Macaca fascicularis: one gene and its partners. The protein of the gene in region 1 purifies or fractionates together with the protein of each later gene. This does not show direct contact. Links are inferred from orthologs where the notes say so. Each region holds a gene or a part of one and is shown in the gene's direction. Other genes may lie near its edges.

The links.
Region 2: the proteins of PSMB3 (region 1) and PSME1 purify together in Homo sapiens (affinity purification with mass spectrometry; 4 studies listed by BioGRID and IntAct, counting the BioPlex papers as one, with this or other methods). This does not show direct contact. The link is inferred for Macaca fascicularis from reciprocal best matches to the Homo sapiens genes PSMB3 and PSME1.
Region 3: the proteins of PSMB3 (region 1) and PSME4 purify together in Homo sapiens (affinity purification with mass spectrometry; 3 studies listed by BioGRID and IntAct, counting the BioPlex papers as one, with this or other methods). This does not show direct contact. The link is inferred for Macaca fascicularis from reciprocal best matches to the Homo sapiens genes PSMB3 and PSME4.

Annotation. Positions count from the first base shown.
Region 1 is NC_088390.1:59,738,589-59,742,333, forward strand, and holds the start of PSMB3 (proteasome subunit beta type-3), read left to right. Parts: upstream 1-1,365; 5' UTR 1,366-1,433; coding exon 1,434-1,436; intron 1,437-1,756; coding exon 1,757-1,941; intron 1,942-3,745. UniProt on the Homo sapiens protein: Non-catalytic component of the 20S core proteasome complex involved in the proteolytic degradation of most intracellular proteins. This complex plays numerous essential roles within the cell by associating with different regulatory particles.
Region 2 is NC_088381.1:91,949,789-91,953,533, forward strand, and holds the start of PSME1 (proteasome activator complex subunit 1), read left to right. Parts: upstream 1-1,457; 5' UTR 1,458-1,572; coding exon 1,573-1,611; intron 1,612-2,294; coding exon 2,295-2,327; intron 2,328-2,449; coding exon 2,450-2,512; intron 2,513-2,626; coding exon 2,627-2,737; intron 2,738-2,825; coding exon 2,826-2,871; intron 2,872-3,005; coding exon 3,006-3,103; intron 3,104-3,352; coding exon 3,353-3,421; intron 3,422-3,499; coding exon 3,500-3,567; intron 3,568-3,650; coding exon 3,651-3,705; intron 3,706-3,745. UniProt on the Homo sapiens protein: Implicated in immunoproteasome assembly and required for efficient antigen processing. The PA28 activator complex enhances the generation of class I binding peptides by altering the cleavage pattern of the proteasome.
Region 3 is NC_088387.1:67,886,190-67,889,934, forward strand, and holds the start of PSME4 (proteasome activator complex subunit 4), read left to right. Parts: upstream 1-1,043; 5' UTR 1,044-1,319; coding exon 1,320-1,561; intron 1,562-3,745. UniProt on the Homo sapiens protein: Associated component of the proteasome that specifically recognizes acetylated histones and promotes ATP- and ubiquitin-independent degradation of core histones during spermatogenesis and DNA damage response.

The DNA of each region.
Region 1 (3,745 bases):
TCATTCCCTTCCCTTCCAAATGTAGTATTTGGAGATTGTAATATCGACTGAGGCAGACAATAAAAAACTGTCGAACCTCCACTGTAAATTCATGCCTAATCCCACGAAAAAATGCATCCTGAAACATGTTCCTTGCACAGTGAAACAAAACCTCTGTCTTTAGGTTTCCTGCCATCCAGCTTGGAGGCGGGGTGGGGGGTGTGGAGGGAAGTGCTAGATAAATTATCCCATTATTGACTGAGCAGCAAAGAATTTTCAAGAACAGTGATTCTCCTAGAAAAAGTATTGCTGCTGCCATTTCTATGCAAAATTTGGCTTTTGAGTAAAAGGCTTAGGTTTTTATCTTACGGGGGGCGGGGGGAACAAAACCCAAAAGACAAAAAAAAAAAAACCCACCGCGTCCCTGGGTGGGCTCGAACCACCAACCTTTCGGTTAACAGCCGAACGCGCTAACCGATTGCGCCACAGAGACCGCGACGATTGCTGGCGTGGTGGTGAGTCGAGTCAATGGGAGCGAGCCTGGACGGTGCAGACGCCGTAAGAGATGCCGCCATCGGGCGAAATAAGTGGAACCCGGGGGAGAAAGGGAAGGATCCTGATGGGGGAGGGGGACGAAAGGGCTTGGGAGGAGAGGACGCGGGACGTGCACCCCCTTCCTCCATTGGCTTGGCGAGAGGTCGACTGGCTGTCCTCAGGTTCTACCTCAAACGTGGAGAGGCCCGGAACATCCTTTTTTAGGGTGACCTGAGATTGAAGATACGTGAAGTCGGAGCGCAGGAAGTCCCCCAAATCAGAACAGCCTTGGGCTTCCAAACTCCCCTTCGCAGCTGAACCCCTGCAGCCGCAGAATACCCACGACGCCTACCCGCGACGCCTTCCACTTCCCACCTGCATCATTAAATTTACATTTAATGGGCGCCTCGTATATACCAGGCACTGTTGTGGGCCAGTGACTATTCAGAGCCTAGGCAAGTGCCTGGTACACAGTAAACGTAAGGATTTCTGGAGTGAATAAATAAGCTAGCACGACTAATAGGACGAACTCATACATCACGGTGATAAGCGTCACGGTGCCCCTTCAGCTGGGGCCGCAGCCCCCTAAACCCAGTTTCACCAGCCCACGTGCGCGCAGGCTCCGCCCCCAGTCCCGAGTCAGGTCCGCCGAGATCCCACTATGCACCGTGTTGCAAGCCTCTTCCGCACCCACAGTGACTTTTCACTTCCGCTTTTCCCGCCTCCGTTTTGACTTTGCAACCAAACTACCTGTACTGGTGACCGACAGGGATGCGGGACCAATAGAAAGCCCAGATGTCCAGGAAGAGTCCGCCTATCAGCCAATAAAGAGACAGCAGCGAGAGCGGTTGCGCAGTGAAGGCTAGACCCGGTTTACTGGAATTGCTCCGGCGATCGAGGGGTCCTAGTACACCGCAATCATGGTGAGATGGGGAGTTAAAGCAAAGGAGCACAGGGAAGGATTGAGAAGCGGAGGGGGTCGGGAGAGGCTTGGGGACGAAAAGGGCCAAGGGTAGATGGAAGGAAACGGTTTCAGTTCGAGGGGAGCGGACCCCGGTGAGGACCAAGAGGGTGAGTGCGGCTCATCGCCGCCACACAGTGCTCATCCCAGCTGGAGAACCAGGGGTTCAGGCGCCTCCGGAATGGAGAACGGGCGTACAGGAGCCTCCGCATCAGGAGCTGGGCCGGGGGCTGTCGCAGCGTTTGACCCCCCGCGCTGACCCCTTCGCTCTGTCTGTCCTAGTCTATTATGTCCTATAACGGAGGGGCCGTCATGGCCATGAAGGGGAAGAACTGTGTGGCCATCGCTGCAGACAGGCGCTTCGGGATCCAGGCCCAGATGGTGACCACGGACTTCCAGAAGATCTTTCCAATGGGTGACCGGCTGTACATCGGTCTGGCCGGGCTCGCCACTGACGTCCAGACAGTGTAAGTTTCAAGGGTCCCTGCCCACACCCAGGTCTCTTCTTGGACCATCCTCCCCTGGCGTCTTGACCGGCCAAGGTGTCAGTCATCTACCACACACCACCAGTGAGTTTGAGACTTTGCCGCACACCATAGCGATACAGAGATGTATCCTAACCAACTTTTACCCGCATTTCCGCTGTGCCAGGCTCTGTGGAAAACACCTCACATTCATGGACTTACTTAATCCTCTCCCTGAGGATTCCATGTTGCCATCCCATTTTGCAGATGAGGAAACTGAGGGTCTCAGAGAGTGTCTTGCCCAAGAAGCAAAGTCAATGAGTGTCAGCCAAGATTCCCACGCGAGTCTCTCTAAGGCCGAAGTCAGCGCTCAGTCCCTAAAGAGCGAGACTGTCTCCAGAAACGTGTCCCTCCCTTTTTTCTCTTTCTTTTTTTTTTTTTTTTTTTTGAGACAGGGACTTGCTTTGTCACCCAGGCTGGAGCTCAGCGGCGTGATCTTGGCTCACTGCAACCTCCACCTCCCAGGCTCAAGCGATTTTTGTGCCTCAGCCTCCTGAGTAGCTGGGACTACAGGCACGCACCACCATGCCTGGCTAATTTTTGTATTTTTAGTAGAGACAGGGTTTCACCATGTTGGCCAGGCTGGTATGGAACTCCTGACCTCAAGTGATCCACCTGCCTCAGCCTCCCAAAGTGCTGAGATTACAGGCATGAGCTACCGCACCTGGCCTGACTTTGATTTTGACACCAATTTTGAGGGGACAAGGCAAGCCCAACAGAAACATCTTACAAACAGTTGGGGTTTTGATATTACATCTCAGGGTTGGGGAAGCATTGGCAATGTGCCAAATCTATGGGAGCAGATTCTGGAGAGACAAAGTCTGTAGAGAGGGAAATAATGAGTAGCAGTTTAAGAGCTGAACCTTACATTTAGCAGTGAGGCGACAAGAGAAACCAGATAATAAGAAGAGAGGAAAAGAATGGCGATAGGCTTTCAGGAGGGAATATGTGGTCACAGGGGGCAGGTGCTGCAGGGTACTGGTGGCCTGAGGAGCGGCAGGTCCTGGATTTGTTTCCTAGAAGGTGGAGAGACTAGTTCACAAGTGTGGGTGGATGCCTGTCAGAAAATGTTCTCATTTCGGCCAGGCGCGGTGGCTCACACCTGTAATACCAACACTTTGGGAGGTGGGCGGATATCTTGAGGTCAGGAGTTCCAGACCAGCCTGGCCAACATGGTGAAACCCTGTCTCTACTAAAAATACAGAAATTAACTGGGCGTGGTTGTGATCACCTGTAATCCCAGCTCCTCGGGAGGCTAAGGCTGGAGAATTGCTTGAACCTGAGAGACGGAGGTTGCAGTGAGCTGAGATTGTGCCACTGCACTCTAGCCTGGGCAACAGAGTGAGATTCTGTCTCAGAAATAAAAAGAAGGCAATTAAAAAAGAAAATGTTCTCATTTCTCTTAAAACTCCCTGAGTCTCAAGAACATAACACTGAGATCTCGCAGCCCTTTTTTCCTATCCTGGTAGAGTCAGAGAATGACATCCTGGGGTTCCTGTCAGTGTGAAGTCTCCTGTGAGCCTTCCCCTCTCCAGTCACTGCTGTTCTCACACCATTTCCTTTTCTTCAGAGGGCTTTTCTCACCACGTTTGCTTGTTTGTGGGCAATAACTGCCCATTTCACTAGGCCTCAGTTTCCCTACCTGGAAGATGAAGCTCATTTCTTTTTTTTTTTTTTTTTGAGACGGAGTCTGGCTCTGTCGCCCCGGCTGGAGTGCAGTGGCCGGATCTCAGCTCACTGCAAGCTC
Region 2 (3,745 bases), on another chromosome or scaffold:
ATCTCACCATACTAATTCATTTACATATGGCAGCTTTCCTGCTACAATGGTAGAGTTGAGTAGACAGACACTGTAAGGCCCATAAAGCCTACAATTTACTCTCTGGCTCTTTATAGAAAAAGCTGGCCAGACGCAGTGGCTCATGCCTGTAATCCCAGCACTTTGGGAGGCCGAGGCGGGCGGATCACGAGGTCAGCATATCGAGTCCATCCTGGCTAACATGGTGAAACCCCATCTCTACTAAAAATACAAAAATAGCCGAGCGTGGTGGGACGCGCCTGTAGTCCCAGCTACTGCGAAGGCTGAAGCAGGAGAATCGCTTGAACCCAGCAGGTGGAGGTTGCAGTAAGCTGAGATTGTGCCACTGCACTCCACCCTGGGCGACAGAGTGAGACTCTGTCCCCCAACACACACACACACACACACACACACACAGTTTGCTAGTTTAAATCAGTGAATTATCCTGGGGAGAAAAAAAAAAAAACCGGGCTAATATCAGAGATAAATGCTATGAATGTACTAAAACAGGCTGATTTGTAATGCATTTGGAGGGAGGTTCCTTATAGAGGATGATGAAAATAGTTGTCTCTGAAGAGGTGACATCTAAACTGAGAACCGAATGACAACACCCAGGGTAAGTGTGTTTTAGACAAAGGGATTATTAGCAAGGGCAAAGGCCCTGAGGCAGGAATGAACATGACACATTTGGGAAACAAATAGCCCGAGTATTTGCAAGTGTAATGAATGAAGGGGCAAGTAGTAGAAAGTGAACTTAAAGGGGAGACAGCTGCAACAGCCTTTTGGATTTCATTCTAAGGTCAACAGGCAGCTGAGAAAGGGTTTTAAGCCAGACAGAGGCATGAACCCGCTGCTCTGTGAGAGTGGGCTGTAGAATGGCATATGCCGCGGTGGTCCAGGAGAGAGCTGGTCCGGGCTTGGATAGGGATGCTGTCGGCTCTGGTGCCGGTGTTGCTACAGGTGCGGAGGATGTCGGCAGAGCCAGAGGCCCACGCTAGCAAGGCTAGGAAAGAGAGGCCAGGTCTTATTCCATCTCTGGGGAAAGACAGAAGAGCCCTAAGTAAGACTTATCTGTCCCAGGCGGAGCAGGGGAAGAAGAGAGCAGGTGGGGAGCCAGTTGGGAGGCGGAAGGTGGAGGGCGGGGCGCGGAGAGACTGGCTTAGACTAGACGATGGGAGGACCCGGCGTCCTCGGACGGCGGGCGGCGAGTGGCGAGAGGCGGGAGGCGGGAGGCGGGAGGCGGGAGGCGGGAGGCGGGAGGCGGGAGGCGGGAGGCGGGGACGAGAGGAGGGCGGGGAGGCGGGGACCCGGCCGGCGGGGGTGGGGAGGCTGGAAACTGGCCCTCGCGAGGCAGCCTGTGCGCGCTAGGGGGAGCCGCACCCGCCGCCCTCCTCTGCTGCACTGCACCTCTCCCTGGCCGGGCTGACCCCGCCTCCTCCAGCCCTCCCCGCCCCACTACCCAGGAAGGCCGTGAGTGGTGCGAGCGCCGCTTTCGCTTTCCCTTCGCGGTGCCCACTCCGTTCCTCGTGCGGCGCTAGGCCCCCCGTCCCGGTCATGGCCACGCTCAGGGTTCAGCCCGAGGCCCAAGCCAAGGTGAGCGCCGCGGGGTCTAGAAAAGGCCCACTGGGGAGGCGTGGCTCGAGCGGCCGGGGGCATCCCCGACCCGCCCCCCAGACTCCCACACAAGTCAGGGGCAGTCCGCCGAGCTGGCGCTCCCGGAGCACCTGCGCCCCGGGGAGGGCGGTGACTGCTGCCTGCGGGGACAGGCGAGGCGGCCGTGGTTCTGTGGGGTGAGGTGAAGCGGAGAGCTGGCGTGGAGGGGAACTCCGCTGGCCTGGAGCCGGGGCCACACACAGACTGGATGCGGGACTGCCCCAGCTACCTCGTGGCCTTTCCCTTAGGGAGGGTCCCGGGGCCCACCCCGTCCCTGTCCTGCTCGCAGAGGGCTCTCAGCACCCCTCCTCACACCTGCCAGGCGACCCCAGGGATCTGGTCTCACGTGAACCACTGGCCCTTCACTGCCAGGAATGTTCTCATCCCCCGTATCCAGCCCTAGGGATACCCATTCCACTCTCCGTAGATCCAGGTCTGCAGAGTTCCACTCCTCCACCACCCCAACCCACCCCACAGGCATCCATCTCGCTTTCTTCAGGTCTGGCCTTAGAGGGATCCCCTCCACCCTTCCCCAGGTCAGGCCCTACATAACCCTAAGGGAACTGTCCTCAAATGAACTGGCCTTAAAGCCAAGTTTCTGAAGGGATGCATGTGCCCCACAGGTGGATGTGTTTCGTGAAGACCTCTGTACCAAGGTAAGACATGCCCCATCAGCGGCCCCACCCCTGCCCAACTCCTACTGCTCAACCCTGCCTCACCACCTAGGATGGGCATATGATGCTGACTCCCATCCTTCTCCATCCCACCTCACACACAGACAGAGAACCTGCTCGGGAGCTATTTCCCCAAGAAGATTTCTGAGCTGGATGCATTTTTAAAGGTACCGCAGCTGGGCAGGGAGCTAGGGAGTAAAGGCCAAGAGAAGGGTCAGGGGCTGTGAGAGTGAGGTGAAAGGAACCCCCTCACCTCCAGCCCTCCTCCCACCCTACACCAGGAGCCAGCTCTCAATGAAGCCAACCTGAGCAATCTGAAGGCCCCGTTGGACATCCCAGTGCCTGATCCAGTCAAGGAGAAAGAGAAAGAGGAACGGAAGAAACAGCAGGAGGCAAGCTGGGAAGACCTGGGAGAAGGGATCCAACCATGGGGGTAATCAACCTTAGTCCTGACTCTCATGAGCCCCTCTTTTTCTGCAGAAGGAAGACAAGGATGAAAAGAAGAAGGGGGAGGATGAAGACAAAGGTACTTGAAACCACAATTGTGGGAAGAGACTTGAGTCCCACCCACAGGAGCTACTCCTAAGGATTTCTTTCTACTCTCCCCTTCAACCCTCACACAGGCTCAATCATGTGACTGACCCATTGCTCACTCTCTAGGTCCTCCCTGTGGTCCAGTGAACTGCAATGAAAAGATCTTGGTCCTTCTGCAGCGCTTGAAGCCTGAGATCAAGGATGTCATTGAGCAGCTCAACCTGGTAGGCTCTCCCCCTTCAACTCTCAGGCTTTAAGTCAAACCATTGTCCTCTTAGTCCCTGCCATTTAGGGCCTGGCACATGCCAGGTTTTAGCAAGAGAGGGCACAGCAAGTGAAACCAGAAGTCCGGGCTCTGAGGCTCAGGAGAGACCTGGCATGCCTCCAGCCAGTGTGGGGAGGGAAGCAAGGGAGAATATGAAACGGAATTGGATAGAGGGCTGATGTGGCATTACGCCATTCCCTCTTCCCAGGTCACCACCTGGTTGCAGCTGCAGATACCTCGGATTGAGGATGGTAACAATTTTGGAGTGGCTGTCCAGGTGAGAGTGCTGCCCCACTTCCCTGCTCTTTTCTAGTCCATGCTTCCTTCTACTTTCCCCCTTGCTTTTTTTCCCTAGGAGAAGGTGTTTGAGCTGATGACCAGCCTCCACACCAAGCTAGAAGGCTTCCACACCCAAATCTCTAAGTGAGTGACCACCCATGTACACACTGTCTGTTTTGGGACAGAGACCTCCTTCTTCTACTCCATACACACTTCTCCTTCCACAGGTATTTCTCTGAGCGTGGTGATGCAGTGACTAAAGCAGCCAAGCAGCCCCATGTGGTAGGTGAGGCCCAGGTCAGGGTGCATGAGGGAAGGACTC
Region 3 (3,745 bases), on another chromosome or scaffold:
GTCTCGAACTCCTGACCTGGTGATCCGCCCGCCTCGGCCTGCCAAAAGTGCTGGGATTACAGGCGTGAGCCACCGCGCCCGGCCGCCAGAGTGATTCTTTAAAAATGTAAATTATATCATCCCACTGCTATGCTTAAAATCTTTTGGAAGTTTGTCTCTAGGATAAAGCTCTGAATTCCTTAGGATTTCCTTCTCAGTCTCATTTCTCCGTCCCCTCTCTTACGCTATTTTGAAATTTGAATTTTTAGAATACATGCTTGCAGCCTCAAGAGCTGTTCTCTCAGCTAAATACGTGTTCTCCTCCCTCCTTTTTCTAATCAACTTTGCACTCAACCCTTACAGCTTAAGTATCACTTCTAGGAAACTGACACCCTCTCAACCCCCTAGTTTGAACTTCTCTGTAGAGTTTCTAAGGCTTCCTGTACTTATCTAGCAATTAAGAGCATTATCTTGTAATTCACGTCTTTATCTCTGCTAGACTAAGTCCTTGGGAGGGCGGAAACCAGGGTAAACTTTCCATCTCAATAGCCTAAACGGAGTGCCTTACACACGAGACAGTCGTTCAATTAGCATTTATTCAGTGAGTTAACGATTTTCTTCCTTGGAATGATGGCGGCCAGAATACCAGAAAGATGGGGACTAAAAGGGGACAGAATAATTAAATCTATAAGGAACAAGCGGGAAGGAGTAAATAAATCTCTAAGGAGCAAGTGGGTACGTAGGCTTTTCCATAAATCCCTGTAACCTAAAAGCCGGGGCTGCTCGGCTAGGGGGACCAGGCCGACCTGGCGAACCTGTCGCCGCGACTGGGGCTCAGGTGGGCGCCGCCTGGAGTGCGCGACCCCCGGCGAAGCAGGACAATAGCTTGGAATTCGGCCTCGTGTTTCCGGTGAGGCAGCCTCGCGCTGGGCCGGTGAGGCCCGGGGTGGGGGCTCCGAGCCGGGCCCACGGCAAGGAAGGCGCGGCCCGCTGGGCTCCAGCTGCCGCCACCACCGCCTCCCCCGACGCCGTCGCTCCGCCCCGCCCCGCCCCGGAAGTGACTTGAGACCGGTCCGGAACCTCTGAGCCCGGCGGCTGCAGCGTCACCAGCCGAGCCGGTGCGGGGCGGGCAGAGCGGCCGCTGCCGCCGCCAACGAACCGGGAACCGCGCGGGGCCCAGCAGCACGCCGGCCAGGGAAGGGGGCCTAGCGATCGGTCAGAGGGCGACGGGCCGCCGGCGGCCGCAGGGCGACGAAGACGCGGAGGAGGCGGAGCCCGGAGAGGGGTGGGGGTCGGGGAGGGTTAGGGTGGGAGGGGGTAGGGGGGGTGTCCCTGGGCTCATGGAGCTGGCCGAACGGGCGAGAGTCGGAGAGCCCCCGGAGCCGGGCGGGCGTTCCGAGCCGGGCCCGCGGGGCTTCGTCCCGCAGAAAGAGATCGTCTACAACAAGCTGCTGCCCTACGCCGAGCGGCTAGACGCCGAGTCCGACTTGCAGCTGGCCCAGATCAAATGCAACCTGGGCCGGGCGGTGCAGCTCCAAGAGCTGTGGCCCGGGGGCCTCTTCTGGACCAGGAAACTCTCCACGTAAGTGTGCCCGGGCCTGCAGGCCGGGCCGGGGGGAGAGGCTTAGTGAGAGGTGTCGGGGATGGGTGCTCTTTATCCAGAGGACTGGACCCTTAGCTCTGTCCTCGCTGGAGCTGTCCCCGAGCGGTGGTCCCAGGGTCGTGACAGAGCCTGTGAAGCACTCAAGCCGTCCTCCCTGACACTTTCTTACCGGGATTCCCGGGTCCTCACCAGCCCTGCACGTCCTCTCCATCTGCTTCTCCTGAAGTGTTCGGGTTGTTGTCTTCCCACCTGGGGGGACCTGGGGAGCCCAAGGGCCCCGGCCCCGAGGGAGAGAGGTGAGCCTTTCCCAAGGGTCCTCCGTGGATCTTTGCGCATAGGAGAGGCGGGGCAGAGAGGATTTGCCTTTGGGGGAGTTCTGTGACTTCTCTCCCTGCTTCCTCCGGTTCTTCCTTCCCCTACGATCCCCGCCTCTTCACATCTCCGTTGGCGTCTAGTAACTTTCTGAATGGAAAGGAGACCATTGGGAAACTTAAGGGTTCTGCTTTTTTGGGGCCCGCTCAGACCTGGCGGAGTTGATCGAAAAGGTTGGTTTAAAGTCAGACTTCATTCTTGAGCTTAACGTCTTAGACGTTAATGTGGACAATGTTGTTTAAGATCCTAAGGATTGTGTGTTGTTCCTGTTGTGACATTTCTTTTGGAGAGGCCTTTAAGATACTGAGGAAAGTAGGGAAGAGTACTGTCAGGATGTCCACGGCGATACTCGTATCAGGCTTGTGTTAATATTTTGAGTTACTCAGATTAACATAGATTACCTGAATCAGTTTCAGGAGTTCTGTTTGTAAACTAGCTTCAAACTATAGTGTCACTGAAATTAGAAAAAAAACAAAAAACAAAGAATAAAAATACAGTGGGGGAGGAAAGGTTACATTTACCTGCTGGGTGGGCATCTTTACTGTGTCCGAAGAGCTTTTTAAGAAATAATTTTGCTTTATCTTGTTTGGTTAACTGTACATAAAATCTAGTAACATGGTATGTTCACGCATGTGGGTATGGATGGGTGAACACACAAGACGTAAGTCACTCATTCAGTGTTTACCCAAATCTACTGATTGAACTGAGTGATGACTCAGGGTTTTGTAATAGTTTTGTCCATATTTCTTCACTGGATGATTCTCGTCTGCCAATTATTAAGGAGCCTCTGACAAATTTCTCATTTCCACTTGAGGGGTGGGTGGGAACTAAAATTAAAAAGAAGCAAAACTGAAACATGTAATTTGCCCTCTTCAGAGAGTGATCATAAAATGTCAAGGTTAACAACTCTCCTCCTGACTAGAGTATAAAGAAGTTTTTGGTGTTAACGATCCTTAAGAGAATGGGGGTGAGGGGCGGCAGAAGCAGGAATGCAACAGGGAGAACCACGTTTAGTCAAAAAAAGAATACTTCATAAATGGTTACAATCCAAATGCTTTTTGAAGTGAGACTCCTAGGTTTTTGTGTTACTCAGGCACAGTAAAAATAGTCACTTTGTTACAGTGATTCCCCATTTTAATCACTTGGATTAGACTTGCTGGGAGAATACCTACCATTTTTGGGGACGCAGCCAGCTTTTTTTAGATATGCAGTATATACATATGCCATGGTGCGAAGGCATATTTGGTTTGGATTTATGAACCTAGAATCTACCAAGGCATACTTAAACATTGTTTTCTGAAGTATTTATTGTTATCAAGTTTGGTAAATTAGCACTCCGGGTTTTGTTATTTTGGCTTATTAGGTAAAAGTTTTTACTTAGAAAGGGCTAAAAATAACAGTGGAGCTAATGTTTGGTGTTTAGGGCTGGATTGCTGATGGCTTAATACCCATGAACCTATAACCATTTATATCTAAATAACCAACAAGAAATGCTATCGGGTAAAATTTTGTTTTGGTGTAATGGTTAAATGCTGGAAACTGAGTCTTGTTATTGCACTATGAGACATTTTGAATGCAGTGGGACATGTTGTGATCTTGGGTGTGTTTTTTTCCTAAGTCATGTTAAGGTGACCTGTTTATAGTTGTGCTTGTTTTTTAAGCCTTCTGTGTTGCATAAGTGAACATCTGAATAATGCCAAAACGTGTGACGAAAGCTTGAGTGGTGATCATATTTAGTACTTCGTAGAATAGAAAGTGGTAATGAAAAGAAAATCTAGTTTCTCCCACTAG